Diceros bicornis minor: one gene and its partners. The protein of the gene in region 1 interacts with the protein of each later gene in a biochemical or structural test. Links are inferred from orthologs where the notes say so. Each region holds a gene or a part of one and is shown in the gene's direction. Other genes may lie near its edges.

Region 1 (7,280 bases):
TCAACTAACTACGGAACAGTGATAGAGTTAGAAAATCTATGGATGCTAAAACTAGTGGTGACACTTTGATGAGGAACAGGATATTTACATAGATCCAAAGTATCTCTCCACGAAATGCATGTTAGTTAATTCGAAAAGGAAAAACATTAATGTGGAGAAACCTGGCAGACACCATCCTAATGAAGGGAACAAAGTGAAAATTATCCATATTAAAATCATGAGCCCCCTGATAGGATGAAACAAAGAGACAGCATATCCAAGATGCAGAACCTGAAGCTAACCATGAAGAAACATCAGACAATGCCAAACTGAGGGACAGTCTACAAAATTCCAGGCTTATATTCTTCAAAAGCATCAAGGTCATAAAGGTCAAGGGAAGATTGAAGAACTGTTCCAGACTGAAGGAGACATGCCATTTGAGTGTTCAGATGTCACCTCCTTAATGAAGCCTGCCCCAGCTACCCCGTTTAAAATTCCAAACCCTCCCCCACCACCTTGTGACCCCTTCCTTGCATTACTTTTCTCCATAACACTTCTCAACGTCTAACGTACTATATATTTTCTTACTTTTCTATATTGTTTGTCTCCTTCACTAGAATGAAAGCTCCACGAGGGAAGGGACGTCTGTCTGCCTTGCTCACCACTGTGTCACCAATGCCTAGAATAGGGTTTGGCGCGTAGCAGACCTTGCAAGCATGAATAAATACACACACCACAGCTGTTCAAATTACTCTCATCCTCAAGACTCCATTTTTAAAAAAGGCTAATATATAAAGAGTTCCTAAAAATCCATAAGAAATACAACAACCCATTAGATAATGGATAAAGGACACGAACAGAAAATCCCCAGAAAGCAAGAACTGTAATACCTTTAACTCTATGAAGAGATGCCCAAGCTTACTCCTAATAAGAGAAACGCAAATTATAATTACACCGGATTGGCAAACAACCTAAGTCTTGACAATCTGCTCATTGAGGCTGTGAACCAGCAAGCACTCTCATACATGGCTGGAAGCAATGCAAAATGGTACAACTCTTGCCCCCACCGTCCACCTCCCTCCGCTTTTCCTGCTTCCCTACCTCCACAGGCTTTTGCTCAAGCTGTTTCCTCCAACTGGAATGCCCTTCCCTCTCACTCAGTAAAGTCCAAAGCCGGCCTCAATTACTCCCAATGATCCATTTGAAGGCAACCAATTCTTCAGAGAAGAACTTGGCCACACCTATGGCTTCAGTTGTCACCTCTGATGGTCCCCAAATCTGTATCTCCAGCCCAGACCTCCCTCCACCTCCTGAATTTTAGACCCAGTCCCCAACTGTTTACTCAACTGACACATACCAGACCTTGGACATCTAACAGGCATCTCAAATGTAATACATCCAAAACCAAATTCCCGATTTTGCCCCACATCTGCTCCTCCTGAAGTATTTCCCATGTCAGTGGATGACAACTCCATTCTTCCAGGTGCTCAGGCTAAAAATCTGGGGGTCAACTAGGACTACTCTCTATTTTTCATGCCCCATATCTGATCTCTTGGCAAATCCTGGCTTCTTTACCTTCAAAATCAACCCAAAGTCTAAACCCCCCGTCACCACTTCCACTTTCACCACCTGGGTCTGATCCTCTCATCATTTCCTGGACTCTTGCAGTGGCCTTTCCACTGGTTTTTCTGCTTCCACCTTTCCCCTTACAGTTTGTTCTCTCTCCACACAGAGCAGCCAGATTGTTCATTCTAAAATATAATTTAAGAAGGAGGGGGATAAACCCAGCACCACCGTCCATACCAGCCGCACCATGTCCTCAGCCTGCACAGCCACGGAGGCCGCAGCAGCGGGAGTTCCAGGGTCTCCCTTCCCCGCTCTAGTAAGCTGGGTCCGGGGCCTCGGTGGTGCTCCCGATGTCCCTCACCCACCCCTGAAGATCCCAGGTGGGCGAGGGAATAGTCAGAGAGATCACAATCTTTCAGCTAATTTATTTTACTCTGATAATTGGCTGAATGTAACAGAGGAACTAACGTCTAACGACAAGACGAGAATCTTGAATGTCCAGACCAGGCTCAAGGCCGCCAAGCACATCAGCTGGAGAGTGGTGCTGCAGGGGGCTCCCTCGACGTTGAGATCCGGGGCGGGGCGCTGCCCGAGGGCAGCGAGGACAGCTTCGAGGTTCTTCCCGAGTTTGCCGAGGAGCAGCCCACGCTGACCGCGTCTTCATTTGCTTCCACAAGAGCCGTGATGACAGAGCCGCCTTGCTCCGTACCTTCAGCTTTCTGGGCTTTGAGATTGTGAGGCCAGGGCATCCCCTTGTCCCCAAGAGACCCGAAGCTTGCTTCATGGCCTACACCTTCGACAGAGTCCTCCGGCGCGGAGTAGTGGAGACCTGCGTCCTCGCACCTCACCGCCCGGAGCTCGATCAACCACAGTGCCCCCTGTCGCGCTGTGCCGCTCTGTGCCACACTGTGCGGGTGGCGTGACCAGCGCTGCGCTGGGTCGGGTGTGAGGCCTGCTCCTCTGCTGGGTGTGTCTGCGTGTTGTAATTGTGCAAATAAACGCTCACTCCAAATTAGCATATATTTCTTGAAGTTTAATGTTCTGTTTGTGATACTGAAGTATTTGCTTTAATTCTAAATAAAAGTTTATATTTTACTTTTTTATTGCTGGTTTAAGATGATTCAGATTACCCTCGTCTTTTGAGGGGGAGTTTCTTATCTGAAGTCTTTTGGAAACAGTCTTAGATCTCTTAACTTGGAAAGATAGGTAATAATCGGCCCTTCTAGTGCTCTCAAAAATCCGAATAAAAGCGATTACACCGCCAAAAAAATATATATATATAATATAATTTACATAATGTGACTCCCCTGCTTAAAATCCTTTTACGGCTTCCCACAGATCTTAGAATGAAAACCAAACGTCTCAGCCTGGCTTACAATGCCTTACTTGACATGGCCTCAGATCTCATCTCCCAGTGCTCTCCCTTCCTCACTCCTCTCCAACTACACAGACTTCTGTGCTCTTCCTCAAACCTGCCAAGAACTTCCAACCTCAAGGCTTTGCACCTGATGTTCCCTCTGTCTGGAATGCTTTCCCCACTCCACGCGTGGCTCGCTTCCTCACTTTTCACATGCCTCCTCCTCAGAGAGGCATTCGCTGACTACTTTACATGGGGAATCAGGAGAGGTCTCTCTGAGGTGAGGCAAAGGATACAGAAGAAGGAAAAGACCTGAGGGAAGAGTGTTCTAGAGTACTGCAAGGATAGTTTCCTTGCTATGTTCTTTGCTATGCTCCCAGTCCCCTGCACTTAGTAGACACTCAATAAATCTTTTTCAAATGAACAGCTTTGGAGGTTGTTGACAGGATATGAGATACAGAATTTGGGATAAGGTGACAAAGGCATTTTGTGTTAAACACCTTTGCTCAAACATCACCTTCTCAGCGAGGCCTTCCTTGACCACACTATCTAAAAATGCAACCTGTCCCCACAGATTTCCCCTTACCTTGTTCTATTTTTCTCCATAGCGTTTGACAGTTATCGCATATATACAATACATATTTACGTATATATTTAATCATATATTCACATATGAATATAGAATATACACAGTGTATTTAATAAGACATTTATTATATACAGATGTAAATTATTTACATATTGACACTAGCTATCATGTTATGTAAACTATGTAGTGTTTATATGTACATTTTGTTTTATATAATTTATATTATAGAGTCACATATATTATAATACATATGTATATGTGAAACTACAATCTTTAGTTATTTGTTGTATTTATGGTCTGTCTCTCTCGCTAGAATGTCAGCTCCGTGAGGGAAAGGAAGAATCCCTAGCACCGGTCCCACAGCTTGAGCTCCACAAATGTCAAATAAATGAACTCCTTTGGCCTTCTAAGCCTCAGCCTTGCCATCTGTAGGATGGGTGTGCCTTTCCATCTGGAGGTACCCACCATGTTCCGCTCCCTTTTCCTATCCCTCCAGAGCTCAGCTCCTGGAATTCCACAGTCCAGGTTTACATTTTCCTATACCCTGGGCGCTGATGCCCACCACGTGCACCAGGCACTGGTCAGACAGGACTACCGCCCCCAGCATGCCTCGCGCGTTTGGGAAGTACCACAACCTGTAGGGGTGTCTGGGTCTGACATGGGCGCTGACGGCGCGGGAGCAGGGGCGGGCTCCCCTCTAGCTTAGCATCTGTGGTACATCCCAAACCGGGGCCCTCCAAGGCCCCGCGCTTCCGAGCTCCGCGCAAACTCTGGCGCTTCTTGTACGACGGAGGTGGTTTTCTCTTCCGTTGCCCCGTGGCTTCGGCTCATCTCCAGCAGGAAGGCGAGGCTTCCGCCCGGCGCAGGGGGTGAGCTGGAGCGCGGTGCCCCCAAACCCCTGGACAGCATTTGAGGGAGGGGGCTCAATTTCGGGGATTCCCTAATGGCCATATTTGGAGGCTCTGGGCCTGGGGTGGCATTTAGGGGTGGCTATTTTTGAGGGTACCCTTAGGAAGTGGTGTTTGGGGTCTCTGGGGTGGGATTTGGGAATCTGTTTTAGGAGATACCTCGGAGGCAGCGTTTATATACCCCTCGGAAGCAGAGTTTATACCCCTAGGAGACAGGGTTTAGGGGGATGTTCGGAGAGACCCTTAGGGTCCGTGTGTGAGTACTTTGTCCATGGGGCAGGATTCGAGATGCTCCCCAAGGGGAGAGGTGAAGTTTGGGGTTCCTGAAGCCAAGATGGAATTTTGAGAGCGCTTGTTTCATGAAAGGTCCTGGTGACAGTGGGAACGTTCAGGACCGACGTGGCATTGTGGAGGTATCTGTGGCCTTTGTGACCTCAGGTTCAGTGACGAGGTCCCCCCGCGCTTGGGTACTTGGGGCGGGAAGACTGGACACGTCTGGGCCCACACGTTTCTAGGGAGAGGAGCCGCCGGCCCAGGCTGTGGAAGGGACGCCGGAGCCCAATGTGCTAGGCTCGTCCCTAGGGGACCGGGTGCCACCCGGCCTTCTTGGGCCGCGGCTTTATTCATTATTCATGAGGAGGTGGGGCTGTTGAGGAAGCCTATTTTTGCCTCTTTCGCACCTGGTCCGCTGGAAGTGTCGGCTTGTGAATTATTCACGAGGGGGCGGATCAGCATGCTGAAAGGGTGTGCTGAGGGGCGTTCTGCATTCTGCCAGGCAAACTAGAGCTCACTGATTAATCGTAAAGGTGAGTAGCGCCCCGAGCTTTCTGTGGCTTTTCCAGGGGTGTTGTGCGTAATTCATGAGAGGTGTAGCTTTTACAGCTTCATCTGCGTGATCCGCTGTTAGTCTTCCCCTGTGGGTTCCAGGATTTAAGCCTTGCGTCTAGCAAAGGATTGAGGCCTCGTGTATTGTTCATTCCTTATGGCCCAGTAATCCCAGATTATCAACAAAGGCTCTAGATTCAAATCCCATTTATCCTTCCCAGCTGCGTGATCTTTGGCAAATCCTTCTGTGAGCCTTAAAAATGGGTATGGGCATAATGATAATCAGATTAGTTTTCACTCATTTAGCACTTTATTAGCCCATTTAATCCCCACAACAATCCTAGGAGGTAGGTTATTATTACCCATTTTATAGATGAGGAAACTGGGACACCAGGCGGCTAAATAATTTGCCTAAGGTTACTCACAGTCAGTGAGTCAGTCTAGTTCCAGAGTCTGTAGTCTTTTTAATTTTTTAATTTATTTTTGCTGAGGAAGATTCGCCCTGAGCTAACTCGGTGCCAGTCTTCCTCTGTTTTTTTATTTATGAGTCGCTGCCACAGCGTGGCTGAGGAGTGGTGTAGGTCCGTGCTGGTGATCCCAACCCGAGAACCAGGCCGCCGAAGCCGAATGCGCGGAATTTAAGCGCTACACCACAGGGCCCGCCCCCAGAGTCTGTAGTCTTAATCAAATGCCATAATGCCCCCTCCTCCCAATTTAATGGTACTACTACTAAAGTTAGTCATATAGCACTATTAGAACAGGCACTGTTCTAAGCCCTTTCTACATATTTACTCGTTTAAACTCCATCACAAGGTAAGTTACTATTGTTCTCAATTTATGGGTGGGGAAACAGTGGCCCAGAGAAGTGAAATGTCTGGCTCCAGGTCACACAGCTAGTCATCCGTGGATGGAAATGATTTTTGTGAGGGTTTAAGAACTCTCTAAGGAGATCACCTTTGAGCTGAGACCTGAAGGAAAAGAAGGAACCCATTTCCTGTTCTGCATTCCTGAGGTCAGTGGCACAATGCATGTAAAGGACACACTACAGGAGCCACGACATAGTGGTGTTAGCGATCTATTAATGTGATCTATTATTATTATTCGACAGAAATGTATTGGGCGCTTACTGTGTGCCTTGGGCTTTGATATACAGTTGTATCTCTGGTGACATGGTAGTCTACCCTACCTGTTTAATGGCCATTGGTGGCCTTAGCATTCTGTTTTCCAGTATCCTTCTGGGATGGTGTTTCAAGGCATTACTTTTAAAATAATGCCCCAAGTTGGGGGTTTCTCTAGGGGCTGGGTATACCCGCACCTATAACTAATTTTATATTAATATAAATATATATTTACATATTACCTTTATAGTAATATATAATACTTAAAAAATTTAACAGTGCCTTGTGCCAGCACTGCTCTGAGCTCATTCCATAATTCACATTCTCTGATTTTCATAACACATTTTGCCTTTACAAGGTGGATGAGTTCAATTACTATACCCATTTTACGGTTGTGGAAACAGAGGCACCTGCCAAAGGCATGTAGTGAGTCTGGATTTGGTTGGACCAAGGCAGCCTTGGTTCATGTGCAGTTAGTCAGAGGTGGGGAGGAGGCAGCTGCACTTCCCCTGGGTTTCCCCTGTGGCTCTGCAGCATCGTCTTTCATTTTTCATGAACAGGAAGGCGTGGCCATGTTGCCTTGGCTGGAGTACCATAATCCCTACTTGCTGGGCAGGGCTGCCTTGAGTGTTTCTGTCCATCCAGCCTGGTGCATAATTCATATTAACTGGGTGGGACCTTGCTTAACCTCTTTGAGTTTCCAGGTTGAGCTGCGGCAACAGTATTATTCATTATTCATGAGCCAGGGGAGTATTTTCCCTGTAGTAGCCCTATTTCCCTGCTTAGAGGGTATGAGATGCAGCAATAGGTGGACCTATCCCTTTTTTTCCAGCCCACCGAGACTTATGCATTATTCATGATAAGTGGCCTTGGTCTCCTTGGCTTCCCTGCTGCTGCAAGATTATTCATTATTTATGAGCAGTTGGGCGTGGCTTCTA
Region 2 (7,443 bases), about 69 Mb from region 1:
AGACACTGAAATTTGAATTTCATATCATCTCCATGTGTCATGAAATATTATTAAATATTATTCTTCTTTTGAGTATTTCAACTATTTAAAAATATAGAAAACCATTCTTAGCTTGCAGGCCATAGGAAAAAGGATGGCAGGCTGGATTTGGTTGTAGTTTGCTGGTGGATGTGGCTGCTTTGATTGAATTTCCATGTGTAACACTGTAGCCATGTGTATTAGTTTCCTATTGCTGCTGTAACAAACTACCATAAATTTAGTGGCTTAAGAAAATACAAATTTATTACCTTTCAGTTCTGGAGATCAGAAGTCCAAAATCAATCTCACTGGTCTAAAGTCCAGATGTCAGTAGGGCTGGTTACTCCTAGAGTCTCCATGGGAGAATCCATTCTTTGCCTCTTTTAGCTTCTGAGACTGCCAGCATCCCCTGGCTCCTTGGCTGGTGACTGTATCATTCCAATCTCTGCTTCCATCATCACAAGGCCTTCTCTCTGAACTTGGACTCCTCCTTCCCTCTTATAAAGGACATCAGGCCTACCCATTCAATCCTGGATAATCTCCCCATTTCAAGATTCTTAATTTAACCACATCTGCAAAGTTCCTTCTGCCATATAAAGTAACATATTCACAGGTTCCAGAGATTAGGACATGGAGATCTTGCGGGCAGAGAAGCGGGGTGGGAGCATTATTCAGCCTGCCATGCCATGCTTTGGTTTCCCTTGATTCAGCAATTCAGCCAGTACTGAAATCCTATGTTTGTGGACCTCATTTCCCCGTTTCTCTGAACTTCACTATTTTCCCCTCCTCTCTCTTCCTCCTCCTCATCCACCTCCTCCTTCTTCTTTTTCATCTCTCTCTCTCTCTCTCCACCCCCATTTCTCTCCTTATGTTGTAGGGGCTATAGATGGACAGCATACTACTACTTTTATTGCCAAAAGCATGCACTGTGACAACTGTTGTTTCCTATAAGTGATTGTCTTCACTTGTCTTCTGAGATTATTGGAGTCAAGCAAAACCTTTTGATTTTATTTTCTGTTATTTCTTAGTCGATGTTTGTATTAAATTTTATCAATAGAAGTGGAAATTATAGGAAAATAAAATTCCTTTGCCTTCAACAGAAATACAAACTCACAGCCTCATAAGGCAGGAAAGGATAGTTTATTCAGTCTCTCCTTCCAATCCAAAATAGTTCCGGAAAATCATAATCTATTCTGCATTTTGAAATCTTCATGAATGAAATCCCATGGTTTCCCTAGTCGTATAGTCCCACATTTCACAGTCCTTCCTTTTAGGAAAACTCTCAAATCCTTGCCTGTGGACAATTTGGAATTTTTTATCTTCCCTGCAGCTGCATCGCCAGCACACTTTTATTTAAATTGAAAAAGACTTCTAGTTCCTTGACCCCTGCTCTTGGTGGTGGGGGTGGGGATGCTTGGCTTTGAAGAGGGTATTTCTTCAAGATGGCAAGGTGAGAAGGGGGTGGAAGGAGTGCTTGGCCAACTCTGCTATAGTTAGTACGTTCTAGCCTGATAATCATCTGTGCTGGAGAACAATCTTCTGTGTCGCTTCTTGCTATGACAACCCTGCTTCTGGTGAGGAATGAGGGGGCACAGTGTTCCTGCAATGCAATTCCATTGTGCAGTCAGGGAATGCTCTCCCCATACCCTGGTGCCATGGGGCTTCCAGACTGCTTGGGTTCATGCTCCTGAGTTTTCTTGAGTAGGTAGTCCAAGGAAGGAAGGGCAAAGGAGTTTCAGAAAACACTCAAGCCCATAACAAACTCATCTACATTTCTGGCCTTCAATGAATTGCAGACATTTCTATCCGGTGGCAGGAGCTTCGCAGTCTCTTTCGCACTCCCCAGTACAGTAGATGCTGCTCCTCAGTAGGATGTTTCCAATACATTTCTCTCAGGCTCAAAGGCATATAAAAGCTGCCTGTCAAGCCTAAATTCCTCATCCTTGCCCTTGAGGGTATTTAATCCACTTCTGTCACCCTCCCTTTTCTAAGCAGAGGTCTCATGATTCTCCACTAGCCACGCTAATCTGCTCACTCTGTCCCCAGAACATGCTTTAGCTCCCTGTCCTTGTTTGTGCTGTTGCCCTCATAGAAACTGCTTGAGTTCTCCCCAAGCCCTGCTTTCATCTCTTTGGAAACAAAACTGAAATAGCCCCCTTCCAGGAAGCTTGTTCTAACCCCACCAGACTGATGATTCCCTCATGCTATGCGGTCCCTCAGCATTTGTGGCTTCACATGCTTCTGCTATATATCTTGCTGCTGCTCTGGTAGGCAGAATTCTAAGATGCCACCCTCTTCCTCAAGATTCCTGGCTACTGATGTATACACACCTTCCTGTTACTCAATCAAACACTAACCTAAGTTCTACTGTGGGGGAAATTTGCAGATGTAATTAAAGTCCCAAATCAGACGATTTTAAGACAGGGAGATTATCGGAGTGGGCCTGACATAATCACATAAGCCCTTAAAGTGAACCTGGCTCTTTCTAAAGAAAGAGATTCAAAGCATAAAAGGAATTTGATGGGAGAGAAATTTTCTGTTGCTGGCTTTGAAGATGGAGTAGGCCATGTGGCAAGGAATGTGGGTGACCTCTAGGAGATGAGAATGGCTCCCAGCTGGCAGCCAGTGAGGAAATGGGGACCCCAGTCCTACAAGTGCAAGGAACTGAACTTGGCCAACAACTTGTGGCAATTTGTTAAGCAGCTAAAGAAAACTAACGCACTTGCTTTGGTAGATCTTGGGTTTATTGATTTCATATGTGTGTATTAGTGACTGCAAGTTCCTAGATGAGAGGAAAAAGAGGTTTCTTGTTCATTTTTGTATGTCCTTCCCACCATGGCCATAATGTGATGCTATTAGGGAGACCTGCCTTAACAGATATGTTGGAGTTAATAAGAGATATAAATCCTTGGCCATGGAGGTACCTGTTGTTAAGCAGCAGCTAGAATTACTGCCATCGTCAAGTGCCTCTTGCTTCCATGTTAGACACAAATTTCTGCACATCTGATGTCTTCCAGACATCTTCACAAGGATGTCTTGCCAGTCCCATAAACTTAGTAAGTCCCAAAATTTCCTCTCCCCAAATTGTCCCTCCCCCTCTACTCCCTAATTCTGTTAATGGCACCTTCAAACAACCAGTTATCTTAAAACTCCAAGTATTGTTGATTCCTTGATTCCTTCGTCTCTCTCGCCCCCACATTCAATCTGTTTCCAAGTCCTCTCCATTCATCCCCTCTTTTCTACTTTTATTGTCACTGCTTGGTTCAGTATCTTTCACCTAGAATACTTCAAGAGTTTCCTAGCTTCTCTCCTGGGACCAATCTCTGATTAGCACAGCTCTAATCATGTCGCTTCTCTGCTCAACCACCTTCCAAGGAATCCACTACCTTAGCATTCAAAACTCTCCATGACTTAACTCAAAGCTACTTTTCTCATATTTTCAAAAATTCTTAAATGAGTATATTGCCTACCTTCTAAGTTATTTTGGGTTGACCTTTAAAAATTATTCTTTAAAACTATTATTGCTTTTGCAGGTCCGTATACTAACTGTGACTCTTCCTGCAACCTGCAGCTTTTGCACGTGAATCTTACCGTTACCTTTACTTCAGACTCACTGCCCCTCCGGTTCTCCGCAGTTGGATATTCTCATCCCTTGGACTCTTCTGAACATATTGTAGCCGCTTGGCTTGTTGAACCGCCAAGGGGAAATGTGGTTCCAGAGGCAAATTGTGAGTGCCCAGAGCTAAAACCTCCTTCTGCTTGCCTTAAGCTCTCATTCTCTCCCCCAGGACACACACTACCATTTTATTCTGCTTTGGGGTTATCATAGGCCTAAATGTTGATATTCATTCCCTGGAAAAGGGATTCACAGCCCCCTTTCATAGTGGAGGCCGATTTATTCTTTTGACATTCAGTGATTTTAATCAGTCACACACACCCCTCCCTGGTCTCCTGTGTCCGCAGGGCGTGTGCACCCTCGAGTTCCCGCTTTTTGAGAACCGGTTTTGCCTCCGCCCACTCCCTCCTCCTCTAGTTTGGGACTTCCATCCCACTCCCACCATCCACAGTGGGCACTTGAATAAGTGATTTGGTGTCAAAAAAAAAAAGAAAGAAAGAAAAGAAAAAAGATAGGAAAAGAAACCAGAAAAAGCTTCCAAGGGTTCGTCTTAGAATTGGCAGGTGGAGATGGACCCATTCCACCACTAAATCCTAGTGAATTCCAGACTTTCTCGTTCGCCCCGCCGCTTGCGTCTCACCCCTCGACCGCCCGGCGCTCCCCGCCTCCCGCTGGGGTTTAATGACCTCAGCAACATTCCTCCTCCCCCCCCCCCCCGCCTCGTCTTGGTACGGCCTGTCCGGCGTTCGGCGTTCACCCCCTCCCTTTCCTTCCAGGTTGGTTCAGCCCCCGTCTACTCCGGGGTGGTGCTTAGCCGGCGCCAGACCGACCCTCGACTTCGGAGAGGCAGTGCTGTTCCTCTGGGTGCTTCCTCGTCGGCTTCTTCGGCTTCTTCATCCTCTTCGGCCTCCTTAGCCGCCGCGGGGAGCCGAGATCTCGGTGTATGCCCCACCCCTGACCCCGCTAGAGATATGTCCACCCCGGCTCGGCGGCGCCTCATGCGGGACTTCAAGAGGTAAACTGACAGGGACGGCCCCGAGGCCGGGGGCTGCCGGCCGGGGCGCAGGGCGGGGCCGGGGCGGGCCGGGTGGGGCGGGGGCGGCCCGGAGCGGCCGCGAGTGCCGGATCGCGGGGCCCCTGTGTGTGTCTCTGAAGGTTGCAGGAGGATCCTCCGGCTGGAGTCAGCGGGGCTCCGTCTGAGAACAACATCATGGTTTGGAACGCGGTCATTTTCGGGTGAGTCTGCGTTCCCGGCGGTGGCGAGAGATGGGGGCCGCGGGCTGGCTCAGCATGCCCTCCGGGACGAGCCCCGGGCGGAGGCGGAGGGGGAGAGGGAAGATGTTTGGGTCTGGCTGGGCCTAGGCGCCTCCCCGGAGCCTGTGCCTCGATTAGCTCAGTTCCCGCTGCCAGGGGAACCGTTTGGGGTTCTTAGGGGGGCGGGGCGGGGAGTGGTGGCGGTTAGGCGCGGCGGCCTGTGCTGTGTGCCTGAGCCCGAAACACCTATTTGTAGTGGCTTTGCGACCCGAGAGAGGGTGGTTTACCATATGTGGAGTTGGCAGAGCTTGGAATAGCCATCTCCTAAGATGAACCGGGGAGATGGGAGCCCCGTAAGCGGGCACTGACTCTTTTTCTCTGTTGCAGGCCTGAAGGGACCCCGTTTGAGGATGGTAAGAGAGTTTCTTTACCCACCTTTGGGGAGCCTTATCAGCTGGGGAAACGGTTTTGTCATCCGGGAAGTGCCTCCTACTTAGGAACCTGCTTCTCGCTAGCCTCAGCCTACTAAAGGCTTGAGTGGAATCCAATATATGGCAGGTTGTTCTGGCGATTGTCCGCTTGACTAGAACTGCACCCTTTTTCTTGCTTGCTTCTTTTTAAAAAAAATCTGGGTAAGGCAGTCACGTTTTAAAAGGCGCATCATAGCACCGATGTTAAGGGTTTTGGGGGTTTGAGCTGTGATCCTGCTTAATTCAGCCCCCCATCGAGATACTGAGTTAGTATCAACCCAACCACTTGCTGATAGACTTAGAGACCCCAGAGACCATCTGGTTCAGAATTCTACCACAAGGGGAGGGACTGTGTTCAGCAGGTGCTTAATGTGTGTTTGTTGGATGTGGAATGGATGCAAGAATCCCTTGTGCATAACTATCTGGTTTCTGCAATGTGGAATTGAATGCCTGTCAGACTCGCTGCTCTAAGATGGTCTTTAATGGCACCTTTACTGCCCAGTTTGAGTATAATATTGTTTCTTATTTTTAAATGAGTTTTCGGTGGGTGTGTTTATCAAGACTTTACGGTCAGTAATCTCAAAGAAGCTTCAGAATTGAGGATAGCCTTAATGTACTCTCTTGACCAGTGTCCAACCTACTTGAAGCTACTACATGTACCTCGGTATGTGATTTTTAATGAATTTAGATTTAACTTTTAAAAACACACATGTTTATTGCTTTTTAAGGATTTTTAAAAACTTTCTATTTTGAGGTAATTATAGATTCATGTGCAGTTATAATAAATAATAATAATAATGCAGAGAAACCCTGTATACCCTTCACCCACTCCCCCCTCCTTTGGTAACATCTTGAATGACTGTACTACAATATCACAACCAGGAAATTGACACTGATATAGTCTATGTGCATTCAGTTTTGTGTGTGTGTGTGTGTATAGTTAATTGGCTTTGAAAGTTTAATACATTTAAAAGATGATTAAAAGTATTTGAACTACTGATTGACATCTTTAATATCTGAAGTATTTAAAAAAAGAAAAGGATCTTTCTGTTATTTTTTTTCTCAATGACTTGTCTTCCTTTGGTCACATAATACTTGATACACACACACACACACACACACACACACACACACACACACACACATAACTCAGTTTGAAGGAGGGAACAAAAACATTTCTGCAAACTACCAAGTACATTGCTGAGTCGGATTGCTTTTTGATGCTACCAGTCCACAAGATGTTGTGAGGTAGGTTAATATCAGCCAATTCTGCAATTTGTCTCAAATACTCAGATTTCCTTGGGAGACTGTAGACAGTCACCTAAATACTTTTAGCTTTCTCTCTACCTTCAGCCCCTGAGTAAATATCACCACTCTTCAGTGCTGCCATACAAAGAAATGACAGCAGGAGAGAGTGATTCTAAAGACATACCACTTTGGTGCAGTAAATCATTTGAACTGATCCATAGCAAGAGCTAGCTAGACTTAATTTTCTCTGCCTAGATTGGTGCTAGTTCTTCATACCTGAGCTTTCTGTGCAGATTAACTGTGTATTTGCTTTAGCTTTAGCAGGCTTTGTTTTCATTGGCTTCTTTTTCTCCTCCTGATTTTTCTTAGACTGCCTTATGCTGGGCACAGCTTTATTAATAGTACATCACGTTGCTGGGGGTTGGATACCTAAATATTTCAAGAGTGCTTCTGTTGTTTTAAGTGGTATGAATTGAAAAGGTACTTATGGAATCCGTTATCTACCTGCACCTTCCCCCTTGACATTACTGGCTCTATTTCTGATGATGTGTATCTCCATCCTGGCATTACTGAAAGGGAATTATTCAGGCTAAATGAGAGTACCCTTTTCTGCTTCACAGTTGAGCAGTCTGCTATCCATAGACGCTTCCTCAGGTGTCTAGAACACTCACCGTGGCTAAAAAATAATATTTTTGACCATTTGAAAGTACCTCTTATTTACAGTTAGGGAATTTACTGGAAAACACTGATTTAGGGATAAGTGGCATAGTTAATTTTGCTGTTTCCAATGTATTATATATATCAACAGCCTCAAAAGTACTTTGGCTGCTTCCTTGT
Region 3 (7,593 bases), on another chromosome or scaffold:
TCCCCGCTGGAGCACGCGGCCAGGAACACGGCCCCGTCCTCGAAACGCACCCGCGGGCTCCCGCGCCGCGAGGCCGGCCGCCGCCCGGCGCCCCGGGGCTCGGCGGGCTCCTGCTCCGTGGGCGAGCCCCGCCAGCGCCGCAGCTGCTCGGCCCGCCGCGCCCGCGCCGACTCGGCCCGCTTCCCGCCCAGGTGCTCCAGCTCCGCCATGGCTCCGGCCCGCCGCCGCCCTCCCGCCCCACGCCGCGGGGGCGGCTCCAGTCGCCGTGTTGTCCCTCGGAGAGCCTCAGCCGGGAGCAGAAGCCGGAAACGCAAGCGCCGCCATCTTTACTTCTCCCGCGCGGCCCCGCCCGCGCGCTTCGGCGTTCACACGCATGCGCGGCCGCGCATGGGACCTCACGGGACTCGTAGTGAGAGCCTCCGCGGCCTTCGGGACTACGAGTCCCGGGATGCAGCGGGGCGGGGGCGAGCCGGCCAGTCTCCCGGACCAGGGCCAGCCTCCCTGGACGGTTAGGAGTCGTCGTTTATTCTTGTTGACACCCACTCATCTTGGCTCCCTAATGGTCACATCGGTCCTTTGAAGTGGAAAAGGAGCAGTAATTATCCCTATTTTCATAAAGTACCTGAAAGACTCAAATCCATGTCCTGGTTTTAAATCTACAGTTTTATTCACATCATCACATGTAATCTATTAACGTGTATTGTTAAAGTAAACGTAAATGTGCGTGATGAGGAGGAGCATGCACACACACACAGTGTTACATATACTACATAAATTCGTTCAACGTGACACTTATAGTCAAGGCCCCGAAAACATCCTGCAAAGGATGCGTCCAGGTATAGTGGAAAGAGCATAAACTTTGAATTCAAATTGAATTCACATCCCTAGACAAGTGACTTGACTTCTCCGAACCTGTTTCCTTATTTATAAAATGGGAATAATAATACCTCACAGGGTAGTCGTGTGGATCAAATAAGATAACACTGTATACGCGAAGATACCTAGTACTATCCCAGCATATATCAGCTCACAATAAATATTAATTTCCTTTCATCCTCCCTCCTCCTCCTCTACCCTTTCCATGGATCTTCAATTCTTAGGAGACAGAATGGATGTCTTGCCATCCATGATTTTTTTTTCCCCAAAGCTACAAAAAGATACCACGCAGCATCCTAAACTCCTAAGGCAGCAAGTAGGACATTTTCATATGCACCATGAACTTGGTTATAAAACCTGTCAGATCGATTTAATAACTATACGCCCAAGGGCCTTAGCCCTGGACAAAATATAATTGTGTTATCTATAATGAAAGAGAACATGTACAATTATTAGGTTCTTTAAATTTTTCTGCATGTTTGACATTTTTCATTAAAAAATATTGCAAAAATGATTAGGTCACTGTAAAGAGAAACTTTATTATATTCTATCATGTGAACATTTGCCTGTGCTTCAATTTCCCGAGATGAACTGAGAACCAAATGAAAAGCGACATATAAATGCAAAATATTATGTTTAATAATATTGTGCCTATCCACAATATGCTTAATTAGGTATTCTTAAATACTTTATAAATACTAATTAAGTCTTACAGCATCTTTATGAACTGTGAATAACAATGTGCATAAAAATAATCAAGGTGTAATAATGTATACTTTATATAGCCTTGTTTTCCTTGTGACGTCCACTAATTTAGAGTCACCAAGAACTTATCATGCCTCATCATTTATTGCAATTAAAAATTCTGTATGCGTTTTACTTTAGAACTTGTTGACATGGAACCCCTTCTTATTCCAACCCAGCCTCTTGCTGATAATGCAAATTGCCCACAAACTCTAAAACAGAACTCTCCCTACAGGATAAAAGAAACATTGATATTAAATCAAATAGGAAACAATACCCAGCTAGAAGCCTAACTCTCTTCAAGAGACATTATAAGCTTAACTCTGCCAATCTGGCAAGGAAGCCAAAAAGTGAGAGGGGGCAAGGTTTCAGAATAAAGCATATTGCTGAAATCTCAGGAAGCACATCTCTGACAGACAGCAAGCCATGTGCACCATTTTAATATTGTGCTCCTGGTACACAACAGCTGCTCAAAAAAAGTATGTATCATTCAACTGTATATTTTACTGACATACTGGTTTTCTAATAAGGATTTTTAAACTGGAGTAAAATTTTCAGGAATCAACAATGTTACATTTCTTTTGGCTGTATTCTTTTTGCATTCAGAATCAGGAAGGAAGAACTATCTGGTTCCAGGAGTATAAATAAGCTAAAATTGACTAAGTCCAAGTTAAATCCTTACTTTCCCAAGAGGTGTGAACTTAAATTTCAACAGGAAGAAATTCAGTTTCAGGAAGAACTTCCTTACTAAATTTATTTTAGTTGCTTTTTTTCCTGAGGTAGTTAAGAGTGTAATACCCTCTTTGTAGATTTTAAAGTAAAATATAAGTAGTTAAGATCCTTGGATAATTTAAGTGCATGCCTACCTGGAAGAAGAGAAATATATCTTTCAGCTCTGTGATTACAGAAAGCAGTAATTAATTATTATAATCTAATTAATTTAACCAGCTTAGACAAAAAAAATTTATGCCAAAAAAATACAACAAAATTAATCTACATATAATGGCTTGAAGTTTTTCAAAATTAAAATCACGTAAGTTTTTCCTGACACATCTTCCCCCAATCAGGGCTCTCTGAGAATAAACTTATACAATCAACTTATTAAACAAACATGATAGTTTAGATTTCCTAAACAAATACTCTAAAGAAAATGTATTTTGTATCCAAGTGAGTAAATCCTGACAAATAATCCTGTGCATAAATAAGACACAATTTTTGTTCTTTTAAATGTACTAAGTGAGCTGGCTATGATGCATATAAATTTTGGTATAAACTGAAGAACTTTTATTAAATAACAATTCTCCACACATGCTCTTAAAAAAATAAATTACAATATTAGAATACTCCATTTTTAAAAGCAATGACACCTGTACACAGTTTATGGAAAGCGTTCGGCCTGGCCTCTATTTCCACCAGTTAATATACCTCCCTCTGGTGGACAAATGGAAACTGTATATTTAGCCCATAAAGTACTTTTTATTTTTTCTTTTATCTAATCCTTTCATTTTGGTTGTCAAAACTACAGGTATTTGCTTGTTTTACAGGCCATCTCTCATTTCCACCAGACTCAATACAGTTCCTGCTTTTTCTAAGACACATTTCTAAGACTCTTCTCAGAGATCCACCCAAGAAAGTAATCAATTTCAGTTCTGAAGACAGAACTGTAATTGAGACACAACTGAGATAGGAAGAAAATAAAAGAAGACATTGAAGGGATTAAATCAGAAAGTATCAGCAGTGAAATAAGCAGCCAACTCCAGAATTATGACAGGAAACACTTCACTACAATGAGTAAATGCTGACCATAAATCAAAACCTCAACAGCTAACTGGAAACTGGGCTGGACAGTAACAGGATTCCTTACGCTTGTAATTCATAAGCTACTTGAGTTGGTTCATTCCTACTACCAATGTGAGGATCCCCAGGGTAGAATCATGGACAGAGTCCTGGTGCATGTGTGGGTCTCTGGAGGAGAGAACACACCTTGCAGTGGTCACGGGAAACCAGTTGCTACTCAACACCAATTTGGACTAAATGCAGAAATCACTGCAGTAGTTAAAATTATACTGGTTAGCACGTTTAGGAAAACTGGCCATTACTCCTATGCCAGCGCTGTTCCAAAGCCACACAATGAGCCGAAAGCAGTGAGATGAGGGCTTGCTGTGGTTTTTTCCACCCACAGCATTCAAAGTTAGTGAAGGCTAGTCAAGTTCCTGCCATGTCCTCTAGATTCAAGTCAGGTCATGCAGCATTCGCCTCTGGCAGAGGAACCTTCGAGAAGTCAAGGCTGGCTCAGCTATGACCAGGTACTTTCTTGGTCAGGTAGGACCACACTTTTAGAGTTAGAAAAGGCTTAAAAGTCATCTCTTCCAAACGCCACCCAATGCAAGCATCCCTTCTGCGCCATCCCTAACCAACTCCCAGTGAGGAAAGACTTCACTATCTCCCAGGTTTACCTGTTCTGTTCTTCAGATTTGTAATCGCTAGAATGCTTTATTGAGCTAAATTTTGTATCGCTTTAATATTCACCCCTTGGTCTTAGACGTGTCCTCTGAAGCAGTAAAATCTTCCAGATGAAAAATACTTAAACGAAGATAAGTACCACGTACGCCCTTCCTCAGATCAAGTATTTCCGTTTCATTTCACTATTCCTTCTTTGAGGTGATTTCCAGCTCCTTCTCTGCTCTGACAAGCACAGCCGACCGCGTAACCGAAACGTGGAGCAGTACTGGCCACCCAAAGCGGTGCAGCCGGGCAGCACCGGGAGGTGTCTCTGTGCGGCAACGTGCGCAGGGCGGACGGCGCCAGCGCGCGCTCCAATTTGAAAGCGGCGTGAGCGGAGGCCGGCTCAGAGCGCTGGCCAATAGGAGGCTGAGCTCCTCCCCGGCCCCGCTGCGGGCCAGTCGCAGTCTCGCAGGCGGGAGGCGGGGCGACCCGACCGCCCTGGCTCGCGCAGGCGCGGTGGATGCCGGTTCACGCGCTTCTGCGTTGTGAGGGGAGCGCGCAGGTGAGGAAGGGGCTTCCCGGTGGAGGTCGCTGTGTCGGGAGAGGGAGCCCCAGTTCTGCCTGACGAGGAGGTGTCCTCCTTCCGGAAGGGAGCCCAAGAAGGCGGCTGTGGAGCGGAGGCTCGGACAGCACGTCCAGTCGTAGAGGCCAGCGCCCCGGAGCCGCCCTCCTGCCCCAGCTGGAGCTCCTCCCAGGAGAGGACAGCGCGGGCGCTCGCGCGGGGCTGCGTGCGTGTACCTGCTTGGTGCGTGTGCGTGCGCGAGCTTCCTGCGCCGTCTGTTCCCCGACCCGTGTCTCGCTCGCTGTGGTTCAAACTGTCTTCAGTTACCGCAGGGCTGCGCGCGGGGGCGCGTGAGTTTAAACACAGAGCTTACAGAACGAGGACGTTCGTCCCGCGGATGCGGGCGGAGGGGGGCGACGGGGGTGGGGGCCGACGGGCCGGCGGGTGCGGGAGAGACGGAGGTGGGCGGGCCGGCGGTCCCGCGGGTGCGGGGGAGACGGAGGTGGGCTGGCCGGCGGGTGCGGGGGAGACGGGGGTCGGGGGGCCGGCGGGTGCGGGGTCAGGGGGGACGTTCGTCCCTTACGTGTGGGCGAGGAGGGGAGGTCTGTCCTGCTGGTGTGGGAGAGGAGGGGACGTTCACAGGCGCCAGGAAGAGGTCCGTGTGGCTGAAGACTATTTTGTGCGGAGTCCCTAGTGGATTTGAGCTAGGCGGTACAGAACCTGTATACCGACAGAACAGGCAGTAATTGATGACTTTGGGGCTGAGGAGCGCCGTAGACCTCTTTGTGTGAATATAGTGAGACGGGTCTGGCTGCCTCCTTTAGAGAAATTGTCCTGCTTGTTCTCACCCTGTGCTATTCCCTTTACCATACGCTTCCACTGTTTTATATAAAGGTAGACCTTATTACTTGTGGATGCTTGTTTTATTGTCCTTGATTCTCTGTATTTGCTTCCTAAGAAAAAGTGGTAAGGATTTGTGTATACAAGATGAGGTTAAGTAGTGAATAACTTGCTCCAAGAAATGATGGTCTTAAAGGTGTGGCTAAGGAAGTTTGACAGTAGTTTAAAGAATGATTTATATGAAAGACGGTTGCAGTATAATTGATTGTATTTAACATATTAGCTCACGTATAGTGTTAATTCTGCTTAAATATTTCTGAGAGACTGTGTTATTGTGGAGGAGCAGCATGCCTGGAGATTGGAAAAAGGAGAACCAAAGGACCTTTTGGTCTTTCCAACGTGATTCAGGAGAGTGTCTTGACCCGATCAGTAGGCAAACTTAGTTTCTCCTGATTACGTTTCCCGAGTAGAAATAACTTAGGGAGAGAATATATAGAATTAAAATTTTTACTGTAGTTTTGCAAATTAATGAATTTGCCTTTTAATTAATATTTAAGTCTTTGTGAGTGAGCTTGACATGAGTTAGTATATCTAAGCACTGTCGAATTTAGGTTTACTGCTGACTTGAGTTTTTAGACTATAAAGTGAAGAACCAGACCCTGACATGCGGAGACTATATCAAGACTGTGTGTCCATGTAAGGCTTTGCTTGCGAAGTTGACCTGTTTTCATAACATCCCCACTTGATCTCTCACCATTTATTTGAAAATATTTATTAAGCCAGGCACAGAAGAAAAAAATAGGAAATTTACCCTCAAAGAGCTTTCGGTCTATTGGAAGAAGAGACAAGTTATTAATTAAATATATAGTATCATGGACCTTCGACATATAATAGGGGTCTATCTTGAGATCTATTTGGATTTTCAGATTTACTACAGCATTTATTTTCCCTCATAAAATACTGTAAAATATAATTTGGATATGTAAGTGATTCAGATCCTTAATGATGCTATAAATGCAAGATTTGAAGTCATTTGTATGGTTATTAAAATAAATGCTACCATTTTTATTAAAGTTTATCTCTCAAAAAGCATTTACTATATGGATGAATAACTTGTGTACTGATGGGAGTACCCGATGTAGTAATGTCACACATCAGTTTTTTCTATATTTACATTAAAGTATATGTGGTTTTACTCTCAGACTTAAGCATTAGAGAAATTCAGTGTTTCAATCTTTCATATATCCTAAACTTTTATTTTCTGATTAAGAACCCTCCTTTTCTTTAACTTTTCGCTTCATATTTCCATCTCTGTAGCATTGGTGATTAGCTTTTCACTCAATGATAATTTTTTTGTTTTTATTTATTTTTATTTATTTATTTTTTTGTGTTAGGAACCTCAGCCCTGAGCTAACGTCCGATGCCAATCCTCCTCTTTTTTGCTGAGGAAGATTGGCCCTGGTTTAACTTCTGTGCCCATCTTCCTCTACTTGATATGGGACACTGCCACAGCATGGCTTGACAAGCGGTGCGCTGGTGCACGCCTGGGATCCAAACCTGGGAACCCTGGGCTGCCACTGGGCCGGCCCCAGTGATAATTTTTTTAATCAGCTTTGCTAAAATATAGCTGATGTATAGTAAGCTGCATATATGTAAGGTGTACAATTTGATAGGTTTTGACTTTAATATGCACTTGTGAAACCATTACCACAATCAAGACAGTGAACATATCCAACATCTCTGAAGTTTCCTCATGTCCCTTAGTAATCCCTTCTTCCCACCCCTTCCCTCACTCCCCCATCTGCAAGCAACCACTAATCTACTTTATATTACTGTAGACTAGTTTATGTTTTTTCAGTTTTATGTAAAGGGAACCAAATAGTATATACGCTTTTTGTCTGGCTGTTTTCACTCAGCATGATTATTCTGAGATTCATCTATATTGTTGTGTATATCAATGGTTCATTCCTTTTTAGTGTATATCAATAGTTCATTCCTTTTTAGTGTTCCATTTTATAGCCATGCCACCATTTATTTATCCATTCACCTGCTGGTAAACATTTAGGTTGTTTCCAGGTTTTTGTATCATCCTTATTGAGATAAAATTCACGTATCATACAGTTTAC
Region 4 (7,782 bases), on another chromosome or scaffold:
TATAGCCTCTGAATCCCCCCAGACCTCCCCATGACCTAATTACAGATACCTGGCCCACTGAACAGGGAGTGTCCAGGACCATACTCCAACTCTGAGCAGCTTCTGTTCTGCATGGTTGGTACCTGTGCCACACCTGTCGTTATATAAGTTTAGTGTCATCCCTGGGAAGGATCAAGGCAAGTGCTGCTCAACTCTTCTGGTTCCCAATCCAGAACTTTTCTCACAGCATCCTGCTCTTCAGGAAGACTGGAAAATAAACAAGAGAACAAAAAGAAAACAGTGCTATGAAATTATGTCTACATAAAAGATAGACAGGTTTTGAAAGGGCAAGAGATTGAGCCGGTATCCATTTTCACCTCTTCAGTAAAGGTCTTTCTATCTTGAGGTTTACACACCTCTGCCAGTGGATGAATTTCTGAGGGTTGGGTAACTCCCTGAAATACAAAATTCATGGGTGTGTAGATTTTTCTGTGGCGTGGGTCCATGACTTTCATTTGATTTTTAAAGGAGTCCATGGCCAAAAAAAAAAAAGGTATAACTTTCTAAGAACATGTTTGATAAGAGGTCTAGGGGAGAAGTAGACAAACAACGTGCTAGAGGATTACAGACCTGGGTAAAAGAATTCTTGCTAGAGACGGGCAGGGAAAGGGGAGAAAGTGAAAACAAAGTTCTCCAGATTCACAGTTTTTTTACAAACTAGATATGTACATGTATATAAATCGACTATTTTTGACATGTAGAGTAAGTCACCCAGAATAGGTCACACATACAAACCATTTGTTATTTTGTTCATTTTCTTTGTTCTTTATTAGGAGATTCACATGAAATGACTAGTTTGGGTCCAAAATTATAAAAAATAATACGCTTTTGCTTTGGCGATATGCTTTCTTTAAAAGTATCAACTCTAAATTGTGAATTTGGAGCTTTTCTACTTTGAAATCCCTTCTATAGCTCAATTGGATTATATTAGCATTTTTAAATTGTTAACTAAAGCCCCTTAGTATTTCTACATAAATTACAATGAAGCCAAGTTCATTCCTTATTATATTTATAAAAGTCATTTTTTAACTCAAAATAGTACATCATTCCCATTGCATTTTATCCTAGACTTTTTAACATGATATTTTAGACAAATCATTTTGAATTCTGATTCTCTCTAATGTGTGCATGGAATTTGAAATCTGCAAGAAAACTTGATGAGTATGCAGTCTGACTTGCTCATTTTATTGATAAGGAAATAAACCCAGAGAGATTAAGAGCCTTGACCAAGCTTGCTAATGACGGAGTCAGGACAAGATACAAGCCTCGGATTCCTAGCTTCACGCATTTTCTAACATCCAATAAACGAGCTGTTGGTTGTGGAACTACCTCCATTTCTCCGGTGAGATCAGCCAGTAGGAGACTAAGAACAAACCACTCTGCGGAGACACAGACTCAAGGAAGGACTTGTCAACTCTGCCTCTTCATCTCCAATAACATATTCTCATAGGACTGCTCCCGAGTCTCCAGTCTAGTGAAACACTACAACTCAAGCCTTCATAAATCACATTACTCCATCAATATTGCAGCACTTCCCCAGTGATCCCTTTGTGGGTCCTTCAAGTTACTAGAGTATTTGGGTTCCCAAATTTCCTCCTCTTTTCTGCCAGAAAGTCCAGCTGCTTTTAGTTCTCTGTGTACAGGCTGTCTTTACCTTGGAAAGGAAGACCTCAGGTACCTTTACAGCTTGTGTCTGTTCTGTTTTTTTTTTTTTTATTTCCAGGAGGTAGAGATGGGGTAGTTTGTGAGGTAAGGGAGAATCACCTCCTTGAACTTGATGGTCACTTTTTTGTGTGTGTGTGAGGAAGATCAGCCCTGAGCTAACATCCATGCTAATCCTCCTCTTTTTGCTGAGGAAGACCGGCCCTGAGCTAACATCTATTGCCAATCCTCCTCCATTTTTTTTTCTCTTTTTCTCCCCAAAGCCCCAGTAGATAGTCATATGTCATAGTTGCACATCCTTTTAGTTGCTGTATGTGGGACGCCGCCTCAGCATGGCTGGACAAGTGGTGCGCACCCAGATCCGAACCCAGGCCGCCAGTGGTGGAGCGCACACACTTAACCACGGGGCCAGCCCCTGATGGTCACTTCTAATTGCTGTGGAAATTAAAAAATGAGTATCATTATCAAATCTAACAAAAATAATAATAATTCCTTAATAGCATCTAACATCCATTTTATGTTTGAATTTCTCCAGTTATCTCAAAAATATCTTTTTTACAGTTAGTTTGTTTGCATCAGGATCCAAACAATGTTAACACATTGCATTTGTTTAATATACCTCTTAAGTATCTTTTATTGCAAATGATGCTATTAGAAAGATTCTTTAAGGTTATGTGAAACTTTAACTTTACTATTGCTAAACTGTTTTCCAGTGATTTACCTATTTCATTCCTATAATTTAAGAGAACTGCACTTCCTTTCCCACTTTTGGTATTGTCAGACATATTATTTTTTGCCTATTTGAGAATGAGCCCCACTCTGTAAAGAAATGAGATGTGAGCCTAGTCTTCAAATATTGTGTATAATCAAGTATTTTAGATATAAAAATTTCATGTTCCCTGGAGGTAATTATATGCCCCACCCAATCTGAAAGTCACTGTTTTAGCTCTGAGTACATCAGGATCTTTCTATTATAGTCCAATGAAAGAATGAAGAAGTTAGTGACGTAATTATGTACTATTTAATATTTCCTAGGAAGGATACGACTGGTGCTGACTTTTCCCTCCTACAAAGTTCCTTTTCAACACATACATAACCCAAGGGACCAGATGTTGATTTTACTGTGAGGAGCGTCAGAATTCCTGTAACCTCTTTTCTTCCTTATTAGTATCTGTCACGGCAGGTTGTCAGCTCTGATGATGTCATAATGCTTTGTTTGTGGGGTCATCTGATGTCACTTATACCTTAGGAAGAATCAGCTTTTAAACAAAGTGAACCTTGGATGGTAAAACCTGATCTTCTGGAGCAGTTTTCTGAGATCACAGGGATAAAGATCTCCAGAAGAAAATATATCCGGAAAAGCTTTCCTCTTTCATTGGGATATATGGGTTTTACTCACTGTTGAAATGTTGACAACACAACTGGGTTGACACCTGGTAATGCTTCTGGATGATTCCTGGTTGCCAAGAGCATCCAAACAGTCCTCAAGGACACAGTCCTTTTGCACAACAAAGGGAAAAACAGCCCATTTCTGGGAAAAGGGTGGAAGTCTGATAGGAAAAGTATACCATATAACTTTCTCTCTAATGATAAAGAACAGTGTGTTTAATAGTACATGATAGAATGATTGGTGTGTTTTAAAGATATTTTTCCTTTTCAGACACATTTTTACATTACATTAGGGAATTTCCCAGAGAACATAATGATCTATTTTAAGAGTGGGAAGGATGGGGATATCCTACATTGCTCTTATATTGAAATCTTTTTTTTTCCCCCCAAAGCCCCAGGAGATAGTTGTATGTCATAGCTGCACATCCTTTGCTGTATGTGGGAAGTGGTCTCAGCATGGCCGGAGAAGCGGTGCATCAGTGCGCGCCAGGGATCTGAACCCGGGCCACCAGCATTGGAGCGCGTGCACTTAACCACTAAGCCACGGGGCCAGCCCTCAAATCTTAACTTATAGAAATTTTTTAAAATGCCAAGCTAATAAAATGACAGATTTTAAGCTTTCATTCTGGTAAAGTAAAAGCCTTCTACTCAAGGCACCAGCCACTTTAATTTTTAAAGACAGAACACGAGGTGCAAGACTTTGGCTTCCATTTTCTTCTTATAAACCAATGACATCTTCAGTTCTGGAATAGCTTTTAAAGATGCGGCTTTTAAAGATGCCAACATTTATCAATGTTGGCAGATCTGGTGCATTCCCAGAATAAACCCTGTATCCTCAGCTTTCTCTACTCAAATACACCCCTAGGGTGAACCACCACAAAACTGCCCACCACGAAATGGCCTGAAGAGAAGTCTAGATGTGACAGAAGGTGTAAGTGTATATTATAACGTGACACTGGTACATTAAAAAAATTTTTTCACATCCAGGATCAAATCTCTAATCAAACACCAATGCCAGAATAACCATAACTACCACTGACACACGTTAAGTTTAAAACTGAGGAGCTGCGGTAAAGGGGCGGAAATCGCACACAAACGAAAGAAAAACTTCAAAATTTTCTCTTCCCTTTCAGGCAAGTTTCAGCTCTTCAAATCTACTCTCGCCTTTAAAATACCCAAGTGCTGTTGTGCTCTCAATTCTCATCCCGTTGTAGAAGGAAATCTGTGTTTCTCTTCCCCAAATTAGGAATATGAGAAGTCTTCCAGGTCCTCAAAACCTGAAAGCAGCCCCGCGGGAAGTTTTATCTGGCCCAAGGGTGTGAGAGGGGGCATGGTCGTGTGGAAAAGACATCTGAGGGGAAAAATCCGTAAACCACACACCTGTGGTCGGAAAAACAAAACAAAACAGAGAAAACCCCTCGGGCCCAGACATCATCAGGATGTCGGAGCAGAGACAGAAAAAAAAACAACGTCCGTGTTCAGGTCAGAACCGGAGCGGCGTCCCCTAAGCGGCCGGAGCAGCCGGCGGGCGAGCCCCCGACGCCCTAGAGCCGGCTGTGACCGAGGGTACAGACAGCGCCATTTACCGCGCCCCCACCCGCCCCTCCCCCCCGGGCGCCAGCCAATCCCCTAGCACCATCCCCTTCCCATCGCAGGCCCCGCCCCCGCGCCCGGGATGCTGGGCCCCCGCGGCGTGACGCAAGCACGGCGGCTCCGCCCCCTGCGTCTCTGGCCTCGCCGGCCTTGGGGGGATGGTTCCATCATGGCGTCAATGCAGGTGAGAGGAGTTTGCAGCATCTGGGCGGGCGAGGGAGCCGCCGAGAGGATGCGACCGTCTCGTCGGGGGCGGCGTCTGGGACCCTGGGGCACCCGGGCGGGTTCGGGAGCGGCCCTCGTGGCCCGTCCTGCCTCAGCCTCAGGGCGTTGGGGAGGGGTGAGAGGCGGCGAGAAGAAGGGCGGGGGTGGGGGGGTCGCGGTCGGTCGAAGCGGACACCCGCCGGCCGCGAAGTTGGGGGAGAAAGAGGGCGAAGGGGAGGAAAGGGCCAAGTTTGGCGTTGGCTGGGCGGCAGTGGTCTCGGAATCCCCTCCCGTTCACGCAGGCGGCCTCCCCGCCCGCCCCAGGGATGCCTTTTCCTCCGTGGTCCCCGGCCGGGCGGAAACAGCTGCTCTCGCCGTTGTCGCCGGGGCAGGGGCGGCCCTGAGAGGGGCTGAGTGTGGGGAGCTGAAAAGGCGTTCCCCGAGAAGGCGGCTGGCTGCAAAGGCGATTCGCGGCCTCCGCTCAGGCCTCCCACGCCCGGCCTCCGGACCGCTCGGCCCCTCGGCTCTCCTCCCTTTGACTCTTAATCCTTTGCCCCGTGGGTACCTTTCTGTATCACCTCCGCACCCTCCACGAACATTCGTCCCCCTTTCTCACTGTCCCCGAAGCTGCCCTTAGTCCATCGACATCATTGGCCGCCTAGTAGGCGATCTCCCCGAGAGCCGAGTCACCAGTCCCCTTAGACCTCCCGGGATAGCTCGCCCTCAAATTTTTTTCCCTGCTGTGCCCCACCCTTGCGGTCGCGGTAAGGCTGCAGCCCTTTGCCCTTCTTCCCCAGATCTTTAGGGGAACCTTAGTTTGGTAGGAAGCGTTTGTTAACTCGTGTTGTATCTGCCTGACTTGGCAACGCGTGGTTTTCTGGCTTTGCTACTTAATATACTCCTTTTTTCCAAATCCAACGAGTTTGGTTTTTTTCAGGCAAAGATGGCAACCACAGTTGCAGTTTTGTAGAGATTGACTCTGCATTATCTAGAGCTTGCATTTAATTTACAGATGAAGACTAGCTCTATCGAAACATATAGGAAGAGAAGGAAGAATTGTCGTTTGGAGTGGCAGCTGAGCGCCTTTTAGAGTTTTAACATTTGCTTAACAAGGAGACCACGTTTTTCTTAGAAGGATTTTGTGCTTTTGTTTCTAGAAGAATAAGCAAGTCTCCCTATCCACCCTCCTTGTTTTTTTCTTTCCTAGACGAGAACAGTGTTTTTCTTTCATCTCTTCTGTTTTCTGCATCTTCTTCCTCTTTTGTGCACGTTTGCTTCACATTGACTTCTGTACTTTTGTGTTATCCTCTTTCAACCTGTTTCTCATAGAATGTTCTTTTTACAGTTGCTTCTCCGTCTGGACTTCCTTGCAGAATAGGGAAAAAAAATTGTATATAACATTCCTAGTTGAAGAGATGTCATGAAACGATGCAGAGAAAAAACAATTTCAGAAACATTACACTTGACACTAGTCTCCACAGAGACGTTAGAGGAGTTTCGTCATTTGAGGCTAAAAAAGGAACTGTGGAACAGTAGTTGAACAGTAGATGGGCTATATGACCAGTTTAAGATTATTCGTGTTAAGGTTAAAATTATTTAAGACTAACAATTAATATTAAAATCCCCAACACTTGTGATTATATTTGACAAGAGAATTGTAGGGATAGCTAATTAGCTGGTTAGATTTAGACTTCAAGTGTCTGGAAAAGGCAGATTTTAATTTTTAAGAGAAAAAGCTGAGTTGGCACAGAACTTAATGTTGATAATCTTGAATTTTACATGGCGACTTAAGCAATGGAAAACAATACTTGCCAGTGCAATACTGCATTTTTCTGACTGTCTTATCACCCTTTTATTCCTTTGTCTTTTGATTAGAGGAATAGAAAACTGATGTTTCCTATTTTAATTAAAATAAAACTAAATCTTTTATTTGTATTTTTTAAATATCTGATAAAGATTTTCTGATAGTATCTAGAAAAATATATATATATATATTTTTTTTTTGTGAGGAGATCAGCCCTGAGCTAACATCCGCCAATCCTCCTCTTTTTTTGCTGAGGAAGACGGCCCTGGGCTAACATCGGTGCCTATCTTCCTCCACTTTATATGGGACGCCGCCACAGCATGGCTTACCAAGCAGTACTTCGGTGCGCGCCCGGGATCCGAACCAGCGAACCCCGGGCCGCCGCAGCGGAGCGCGTGCACCCAACCGCTTGCGCCACCGGGCCGGCCCCTAGAAAAATATTTTAATATAGATAAACTTTTTGAAACACAGCACTACTTTCTGTGATTATTCTGTGTCTGGTGAACAACATTTTTTCCTACTTAGTAGTAGAGTTTAACTCTTTTCAGAATGACTAAGTTACACATAAAACTGCAACCAAATTATGAAATTTGTTCATTCACTCATGAATTATTTTTTGAGGGCCTACTATGTATCAAGTACTCATCTAGGTGCTGGGGATATGGCAGTGAACAAAAGCAAGATTTCTGCCCTTGTGGATATAGTAGTCCAATTGGGGGAGACAGATAAGAACAAAATATTTGCTAGTTGCACATTATATTAAAAGGTGATAGTGATATGGAGAAAAAGTGTGGAAGGAGGTTGTGAAATGGATATTTTTGGGATTTCAGTAGAGCACTTAGGAAAAAGTACACTGTACATGAATGCTGCTCTGACCATGTCCTTGCCTAGAAAGTTTTCAGTAGATTTTTTTTTTTTATAATTTTTATTTATTTGTTTATTTTCCTCCAAAGCCCCAGTAGATAGTTGTATGTCATAGCTGCACATCCCTCCAGTTGCTGTATGTGGGACGCGGCCTCAGCATGGCTGGAGAAGCAGCGCGTCAGTGCGGGCCAGGGATCCGAACCCGAGCCCCCAGCATCAGAGCGCAC

The links.
Region 2: of the proteins of UBA1 (region 1) and UBE2A, one has a biochemical effect on the other in vitro, tested with the Homo sapiens proteins (6 studies listed by BioGRID, with this or other methods). The link is inferred for Diceros bicornis minor from reciprocal best matches to the Homo sapiens genes UBA1 and UBE2A.
Region 3: of the proteins of UBA1 (region 1) and UBE2T, one has a biochemical effect on the other in vitro, tested with the Homo sapiens proteins (4 studies listed by BioGRID, with this or other methods). The link is inferred for Diceros bicornis minor from reciprocal best matches to the Homo sapiens genes UBA1 and UBE2T.
Region 4: of the proteins of UBA1 (region 1) and UBE2W, one has a biochemical effect on the other in vitro, tested with the Homo sapiens proteins (5 studies listed by BioGRID, with this or other methods). The link is inferred for Diceros bicornis minor from reciprocal best matches to the Homo sapiens genes UBA1 and UBE2W.

Annotation. Positions count from the first base shown.
Region 1 is NC_080781.1:40,992,830-41,000,109, forward strand, and holds the start of UBA1 (ubiquitin-like modifier-activating enzyme 1), read left to right. Parts: upstream 1-4,262; 5' UTR 4,263-4,360; intron 4,361-7,280. UniProt on the Homo sapiens protein: Catalyzes the first step in ubiquitin conjugation to mark cellular proteins for degradation through the ubiquitin-proteasome system.
Region 2 is NC_080781.1:110,107,096-110,114,538, forward strand, and holds the start of UBE2A (ubiquitin-conjugating enzyme E2 A), read left to right. Parts: upstream 1-4,428; 5' UTR 4,429-4,605; coding exon 4,606-4,649; intron 4,650-4,789; coding exon 4,790-4,870; intron 4,871-5,275; coding exon 5,276-5,301; intron 5,302-7,443. UniProt on the Homo sapiens protein: E2 ubiquitin-conjugating enzyme that accepts ubiquitin from the ubiquitin-activating enzyme E1 and transfers it to a E3 ubiquitin-protein ligase. In vitro catalyzes 'Lys-11', as well as 'Lys-48'-linked polyubiquitination.
Region 3 is NC_080777.1:30,430,015-30,437,607, reverse strand, and holds the start of UBE2T (ubiquitin-conjugating enzyme E2 T), read left to right. Parts: upstream 1-4,586; 5' UTR 4,587-4,627; intron 4,628-4,637; exon of another isoform or gene 4,638-4,870; intron 4,871-7,593. Other genes in the region: PPP1R12B (protein phosphatase 1 regulatory subunit 12B), read right to left, coding at 1-209. UniProt on the Homo sapiens protein: Accepts ubiquitin from the E1 complex and catalyzes its covalent attachment to other proteins. Catalyzes monoubiquitination. Involved in mitomycin-C (MMC)-induced DNA repair.
Region 4 is NC_080772.1:25,347,095-25,354,876, reverse strand, and holds the start of UBE2W (ubiquitin-conjugating enzyme E2 W), read left to right. Parts: upstream 1-4,765; coding exon 4,766-4,867; intron 4,868-7,782. UniProt on the Homo sapiens protein: Accepts ubiquitin from the E1 complex and catalyzes its covalent attachment to other proteins.